2 linked regions of the Daphnia pulex genome follow. The protein of the gene in region 1 purifies or fractionates together with the protein of each later gene. This does not show direct contact. Links are inferred from orthologs where the notes say so. Each region holds a gene or a part of one and is shown in the gene's direction. Other genes may lie near its edges.

What was found. Proteins that work in one complex are often made in the same cells at the same time.
Region 2: the proteins of protein prickle-like (region 1) and vang-like protein 2 purify together in Drosophila melanogaster (affinity purification with western blotting; 6 studies listed by BioGRID). This does not show direct contact. The link is inferred for Daphnia pulex from reciprocal best matches to the Drosophila melanogaster genes pk and Vang.

Annotation. Positions count from the first base shown.
Region 1 is NC_060020.1:6,129,657-6,133,706, reverse strand, and holds the start of protein prickle-like, read left to right. Parts: upstream 1-1,203; 5' UTR 1,204-1,613; coding exon 1,614-2,092; intron 2,093-4,050. UniProt on the Drosophila melanogaster protein: Acts in a planar cell polarity (PCP) complex; polarization along the apical/basal axis of epithelial cells. Correct expression of the alternative isoforms is required for PCP signaling in imaginal disks.
Region 2 is NC_060018.1:12,086,796-12,090,940, forward strand, and holds the start of vang-like protein 2, read left to right. Parts: upstream 1-1,331; 5' UTR 1,332-1,988; intron 1,989-4,145.

The DNA of each region.
Region 1 (4,050 bases):
GCACCGCCGCCGCTGCCGCTCCGCTCCCTATTTCGACTTTTAAATGCCGCGCAAACGAACCATTTGAAATTTATTTATTTCTTTCAACAATCTTTTACAATCAGAGAAAAAGGGGTTAACCAAAAAAAGAATGAGATGGGGAGGGAGGGAGAAAGCCTCTTCCTCCTCCTCCTACTATATAGTACACACACCTTGATTCGTCAATTTTCAATCCAGTTGCACCGCCGGGGTCTGCTGAATTTTATAAGGAGAGGCTAATAATAATACTATACTATGCACAGGCCAAGATGGCCTTATGGCGTTCCTTTCGGAGTCATAGACACGGAAAATATGGAAGGGGGAGTGGAGGGAGGGCTGGGGGGGGGCCAACAAGTGCTAGTGTAGTGTATCATACAGCCGACCGAAATGGTAAAACAACCCAACAGCCAAAAAATAGATACATGTTAAAGCCCTCGAATTTAACTTGAACACCCAAACGGAAAGGAAAAAAAATGAAAAGCTCTGGAAAATAATAACTGGCCGGCGGGAGCTGTGTGTGTCCAGGGCTACATGTGCTATGTGCCCACCTGAAGAAGAAAAAAAATCGCCCGAGGACGAGTTGAGAAATAGAAAAAAAAAATTATTTTTTGGGTTGAAATCGCAGGAACAATTTTTGTTTTTTTTTTTTCAAAAAAAATAATCAGACAAGAAATTCTTTCAAATTAAAATTTTTCTAATAAAAACCGGACTGGAAAAACGATTGTGATATGCCACTATCAAGCGTGCGAGCGTGCGCTCTCCCAACTCGTTATCAAAAAAAATTTTCTCGACTTCACTTTTTTGTCGTTTGTCAAGTCGTTTGGTAACGGTCGCACACTCTTTCCTATCGACGTATTAAATTAAAAATGACGTGGAGAAGAGAGAAAAAAACGTTCTTTCTGAAATAGTTTCGGAAATGAGCCGACCATTTTCTCTCGAGCCCTTGGAAAAAGGTAGACGCGAAGGGAAAGGAAAGAAGAAACAAGTTGGGAACTCTTTCAGGTGCAAGTTCCTCTAGAAGCCGAAGAAGAAGAAGAAGGAAAAGAATAAAAAGAAGAAGAAGAAGAACAGGTAAAAAGGGAAGACTCGAGCTGCTGGAGGGGAATTTTAAAAAATAAAAAAGATAGGGGAAATCGGGAGAGAGAGACACTGCAAGGAGAGGCGGAGGTAAACGCAGGAGGAGGTGGGAGGGACCTTGACGAGAGGTAGAAGAAACACACGCGCCTATATTCAGTCGAAAGGCAACCGCCGTGGCGATAGCATCGCCGCTACACCAAACTCTCATTCACACTTCTTCTTCTTCTTCTTTTTTAAGTGGTTGTAATAATCACGAGCGCGACAGCAGTGTGGACCCTCGCAACTTGCCATCTATCGGATATTTGTTTTATTCTCTTTTTAATTTCTTGTCGAATTAGCGTTTCGTCAAACGGGATCAATCGAGTGTATTGTTGCGTGTGCACACGTGTGATTTAAAATGCCGGAAGAAGGCTAATCGAGAGGTGCGCAATCAGTGTCAATTTTTAAAAAGAAAAGGAAAAAAATTAATCGGATCTCATTGTGACCCCGGGATGTTTTAAATCACGTGAAATATTTCAATGGAAGTGTCGACGACGACGACGAGTAAGTGCGCCAGCAACGGCGGATTGCCGGGCAGCAGCGCTGCCGTCGTCGCCAAAGTGTCGACTGTTGCAGCGGAAGAGGATTTGGCCGCGGCGTCGGCTTCCGGTGGCAACAGGAAAGATGGCGGCAGCGGTGGTGGGACCTTGTTACAGATGCACAAGCCTCTGGCCCACCTGTTGGCCCACCGTCAGTGGTGGAAAGTCTGCTGGGTCTACGGCGACCAGCAAAAGTATTACAGACAATTGTACGGGCGCAAAAAGAATTTGACGACGCTCAGGTCGACCGTCGCCGATGCCACCAAATCCTCCTCCTTGTCTTCCTCTTCTTGTTGTAATGATGACAATAATCACCACAGCGGCGGTGGTGTCGACGACGATGATGAAGAAGACGACGACGACGACGCCGCCGTCAGTTCATCATCATTTAACACTGTGCCATGTTTCCACACCTCGGAGTAAGTCGATTCGCCCTCGCGTTAACATTTTTCTAGACCCTCAACGAAGCCTCAATTATTTTACAGAGTACTTTTTGTCTTTTGGAATTTTTTCATTCGAGTACTAGAGCCGGAGATTAACATCTCGTTCAAATCTCATTTGCAGCAAATGACGACGCTCACTTTCTAGTTGCTTTTGACTTGCATAATCTCATCCGCCCACCAGCAAAGGCAATGACAGGGAATTTCACTGCAATATTCCAAATGCCTAGCGTGTGCAATTTGAATGACATTTGGGCTACTGAATGAATTTCTGTTTCTGTGGTGGAACCCGGCTGATTGCCCATGGGCCATTTAAGCAGATCGCAAGGTGGTGCTTTTTCTTTTCTTTTTTGAAGGGAAACGAACAAATACCAGATAGAAACAAGTTTAACAAAATCAAGTTAGCCATTTTTTTGTTGTTGTTGTTTGTTTGTCTTTTTTTGGGTTTTTTAAATTTATTTTCTGGTTGGTTATACTATTAAAGGTGGGTGGGTGAATACGAACAGGTCAGGAGAGACAAATGGTAGGGAGTTGGAAAATTTCGTATATTTTTTTTTTCCGAAGGTTTCACTTCGCTTGATTGGTTTTTTCCAAATTGGGGCATTTTCGGTCTGGTTTGATCGAATCCTCTTTTTTCTTTTTTTTTTTGTCTTGTTTCCCTTAACTTATTTTTTCCCCCCTTTTCAAATATTATGGCGCGATCGGCCAAGATACTACAACTATATGCGGCCATGACTTTTTTCACTTCTTCTTCTGGTCCGATGGAATGAAGACCGAGTTCCCTATGGCTAGGTGCGGGGCCATAAAACCTGAAAAAGTCTTCCCTTTTTCTTCTTCTTCTCCGGAGTCATTCAAAAAAAGCGCCTGGAAACACCTCTTACCTTGGGTAGCGAGAGGTGGCGAGCTCGGCGAACGAGAGAGAAACTCGAAAGAGAAATGACTCGCTCTCTCTCTCTCTCTCAGCATCTTCTTCTTCTTCTCGGCGCACGCATCACCTTATTCTGACAACAAAAGAAACGGGCCGTTTTCAAACGAGACGGAAATAAATGTGGCAGGAATAATTAGCAGGTCGTCAACTTGAGCATCTCATCCTTAGTTAAAGGGAAATTCTTTTTTGTTTTCGTTTTGTTTTTGTTTTTTTTTGTTTTTTCCCTTTTGTAATTCTCCCGTACTACTCCGGTGTTGTAGTAGTCGTAGTAGTCGTAGTAGTATATATTCTATCTTTACTGTAACTGTCTGCGTTGGATGTTGCGCGACCTCCGTTTTGGTTGATTGCCTTTTCGAGACGATAATGAAAGCCCCAGTATATTTATTTATATAAGAGCGTAGCAGCAGCAGCAGCTGAGGCAGCTTCGAACCGTTCGTTCCTCGTTCGTTTTCTTTTTTTACGACCGTTTTCGGCGATGCGCCATATCTTGGAAATATGTTTGGTGTCTGTGTGTGTGTTGGTGTTCCAAAGCTAGAGAAGAAGAAATACTAAAAACAAACAAGAAGAAGAAGAAGAAGAGGAGGAAAAAAAGATCAAAGTCACAGAAAAAGACCGACGAATGTTTAGTTGTTTTCTTTTTTTCTTATTCCTCCTCGTCTGATTTTAAATGTGCCCATGTTCGACTCGACAAACCGCTTTATTTCAAATCCTTAGATAGAAAGAAAAAAACAAAAAACTACGAAACAAGAAAAAAAAAAAAAAAAAAAGAAACTGGTCCAGACGACTTGTATTGCATGTCCGGGACAGGTGCCTGGGTGTCGTTTGGTAATGACTGGGCAACCGACCCGAACTGACGTCCTACCAGCCAACCACCAGCACCACACATCTAGTCTCTAAGCCAAGCATAAAATCAAGGCAGTTGAAGAAACGACGCGTAAAAAATGACCATCTCTTTGACTTAAAAGAAAACCAGAATTTCGGCACACATTATAATTTTTTTAATACTTGT
Region 2 (4,145 bases), on another chromosome or scaffold:
TCGATCCTTTTGTTGTTGTGTGTGTGTCCGGCAGTTTGAAAAAATAAAAAAAATTTCGGGGGGAAAAAATCGGAAGACTCACAAATGTCCCTCAAGCTGAGAGATAGATCCAAAACGTAATGAAATATCCTTCCGGAATGTTGCGTATATATAAGCCAAGCCAAAAAAAGAGAATGGAAAAATTTAATTTTTGGAATATTTTTTGATTCGCTTGTTATCTCGACGGAAATTCTTGTCATTCCAATTTATTTCAAGTTAACGTTGATCCCTTTTTATATTTGATTTAGAACGCAGAAGAATGTCTGTGTGTAAAACTAGGAGCTAAATTCATTATTCTTTGTTTATAATAACTATAAAATACAATAACCGGTGTTGAAAGAAATATTTGGGGTGAAATTGACATCATCTTTTATATCTATCGATAAACAGGTATAACCTTGATGTTAAATGGACGTTCAACTCCTGCGTCAATGATGCGGTTTTCATCACATAGAAAAGCTGCGGTCAGCATCTCTCAAATTCTATTGTGTTTAAAGATATTAAAAAGGTGGGGAGCTGTATAGTTTCCACTGTCTCTCTCTCCTTCATCTAATTCCATTTAATGATTTGGTGTTGTATAGAAAAAATAAAACCAAGAGCCTTATATACTATTATCCAATTCGGATCTGGATGGACGGTGAACCGGACAGGCTCAACTCGAGCGGAACGGACGTATATATATTTAGTGAGACCTGAACTGTGTGTTTCTCTATTACAAGGCCGATAAGAAAAATTTAAAAATATAAAATGGTACACGAAAAAATATAAGCGGATTCGATTTCTCAGAAAAATTGATTATCTCCACTTCAATTGTTTTTTTTTTTGTTTTTATTTTTTTTAAATGTCATTTTTATTCATCCGGAGAAACAAATTTATCCTTTCACCGGTCACGCAATGGTGTGTTTTTACTCGTGATATTTATTTTCGGCTTGACGCCAAGTGTCCGTCTATGAATGTACACACACACACACAGAGAATCTAGTAGAGTGGATATAGTCCGTCTATCCTTTTTTCTTTTCCTTTTCTTTTACGGTTGCAGTTGTGTTTTTCGGGGGTGCCAAAGACCCGACGAGAGTGCTGGAACCCCAGCTAGCACGACTGGGAAAAATAAAAACCCACCAATAGGAACCGCATTGCCACAGGGTACGTTCTTCCATCTTTCTCTCTTTCTCTCCTTTTTTAACCATTCTTTCATTCTCTTTCGTTTCTTTTCATTCCCCCCCCCCTTCTCTCTCCCTTTCCCCGTGTATATATAAATATATGTACTATATATAAAAATACAAAAAAGAGCTGGAAGAAGAAGAAGAAGAAGAAGAAGAAGAGTATGGCGTGGCTTTATCGTGCCGGAGCAGCTCAGTCGAGTGTGGACGCTTAGCCGCAACAGCAGCAGCTACCAGGAGCAGCAGCAACCAACCAACAATTTTTATTATTTTGTTCGTGTGATTGTGTGTGTGTGTGTGTCTGTGTAGATTTTTATTTATTTTTTTTTTTTCCGGTGTACTCGGAGAAGATCTGGAAGAAATTTCTAAGAAATAGAAGAAGAAAAAAAGTGTCGATCTACTACTACACATGAGTGTCGTCTGCAGCAGTGAATCGCTTATATTTCCAGGGAATAATAAGATCAGAGACGATTCCCAGGGATTTCCATTATGGATTATCTGCTTACAAAGTTGTGATTTATTCGTGCGCGTTGTATATGGATTATTATTATTAGACACAATCGATCCGTCCGAAAAAAAAGTCCAGCAGTGCGCACCCCAGCACCGGTGCTGTAGATTGAAATCAGACACCGGAGAGAAAAAACAACTTCAACAGCAGCAGCGACTATTGTGTGTGTGTGGATGTAATTGCACATCATCATCCTGTTTTTCTTTAAGACACCAGCAGCAGCAGCAGAGCGAGGCCGGAACAAACTCCTACACATTTTGAAATCAAATTAAAATATAAAGGTGAGTGTTTTTTTATTTTATTTTTCTTCTTCTAAAATAGTAGAAGAAAGAAAGAAACGCTATTTGTCCAACGGCTGTCCAGCAGCAGCAACACCAAACATTTTTCTTTTTTGGCATTCTAATCCCGGTGACAAGATATTTTTATTATTATATTATTTCTGGCCCGGTGTTTATAATCCTTGCGGCCGTAGTACGGGGATAGCACAAGGTCCCCTTGGCGAATGAAAAGAGAAATGATATAAAAGGACAACACACGACGACGGGAAAAAAAGGAAAAAAATGTTTGAATAGAAAAGATGAAAAGTTACGGCATTTCTTTAATGTCTTCTTTTTCGTCGTCGTTCGTCGTTCGTCGGACGGTAGAAAAATAAAATAAATTTGTTTTTTTCTGCGCAAATCTAAACTGGCTTAAAACGTCTAAATTTGGAGATAAGGCGACTAAATAATAGCTGGAACGATTCGACTGGAGAAATTTTATTTTTTTGAAATGAGAGCAGGTTGAATATAATAATAAAATAGATCTGGTTTTGATTCCATTCGATATATGTTCCATCTGTTTTGTTTTAACAAATAAATGCAGACCGGTAGGGATGAGATGTCGCTGTTAAGTATTCGTGACCCGACGCGGATTGTTTCGAAGGGAAAACAAAACAAAACAAAAATCAAAAAATCTCATTAGTAAGATCTGGTCCCGCCAAGTTTTGAAAAACAAAAAAATCTACAAGGCGACATGGCTAAATGGAATTAAAATCAAAAGGGAAACTAAAAACTGGAAATTCGAGATTTGGTCCTTTTTTGTTTGAAATCTTATTGGAGGGGAAAAGGATATCATCGGGGAGGAGAGGATAGATTAATATATTATTGAGACAAGAAAAAAGAAAAACAGAAAAACCGGTCGATTTATAATGGCTGAACTTGTTTTTTCCTTGACGAAAAAAGAAAATAAAGGGAAAATAAATAACCCATCCTTGTTTGGATTAAAAGAAGAAAGAAAAAAAGTCATTCGGCAGGTTTAGACGTTGTCGTCGTATATATTTTTGTCTTCTTCCAAAATAAAAAATTCGTACTAAAAAAAAGGGGGCTCCGCCCTTATTTATTTTACGCGTAGATAAGAAAAACGTCAGATATTGAAATCTTTTTCTTCTTTCATAATGGCATATCCATTTTCTTGCTTCGTTCTTTCTGCTTTGACGAGAGAGAGACCAATTACACGAATATTTCACCCTGGCCAATCATCCGATACACCCAAAATGGGATGGACGAAAAAATATCTATGCACAAATGAGCTCATTAAATAGACTGAACAGTTTCCCAATATGTCGGAACAGATGGATCCCAAAACCAACCAACCAAAATTCCTTTTTTCTGCCATCAATCGTCTGTGTTATATACCGACAAGAAGATTATCCAGTAACAGGATAAATATATATATAGATTAATTATACCACTCAAGAGATTTATTAGACTCAACTAAATATCTAATACACACAGCGTCCCAGCAGCAGCAGCAGCTCTTGACCAAATATTATGACACCCGTGCTGTTATAGACTCGTGACATTCTCCAACTGGCCCCGGCAACTATATCGAGAGAGATGTTTATCGTAAGAAAAAAGTAAATTCTCAAGTAGTAGCCCATAGCGGAGTCGTAAATAAGTCGGCGCCAAAATTTGAAAAATAATAAAAATTTTTAAAAAGTTCTTCTTTGCGGTTGTATTAGATATATTTTCGGTGGGTTGAAATCTATCAATCTCAACTTTGATGAAAACGAGGGTTGAAAAAACTCGATCTCTTTAGATAAAACAGGAAGAAGCTCTTCTCCCCCTCTTTTCTTCTGCTGGGATGTTAAATAGTAAAATAGAAGAAGGTAATATAATGATGCGGTATGGCAACAGTGGCGGTTCTCCTTGGTTGTCTTGCTGCTGGGCCATTCACCTGTTGTTGTTGGGGGATACCAGAAGAAGAAGAAGAAGAACCGGAGGAACTTGAAAATGTTGAATTTTTTTGGCCCTCAGCTTCCCTCCAGGCTACACCTGGTTCTCCCTTTTCCTTCATTCTTCCTTTTCTTCTTCTTCTTCATTCCATTCGGTTTCAGGGAGGGGGGAACTGTTGCGCGACCGTTTTCTTCTTTTATTACACCCACAAGAAACCTTCTTCTT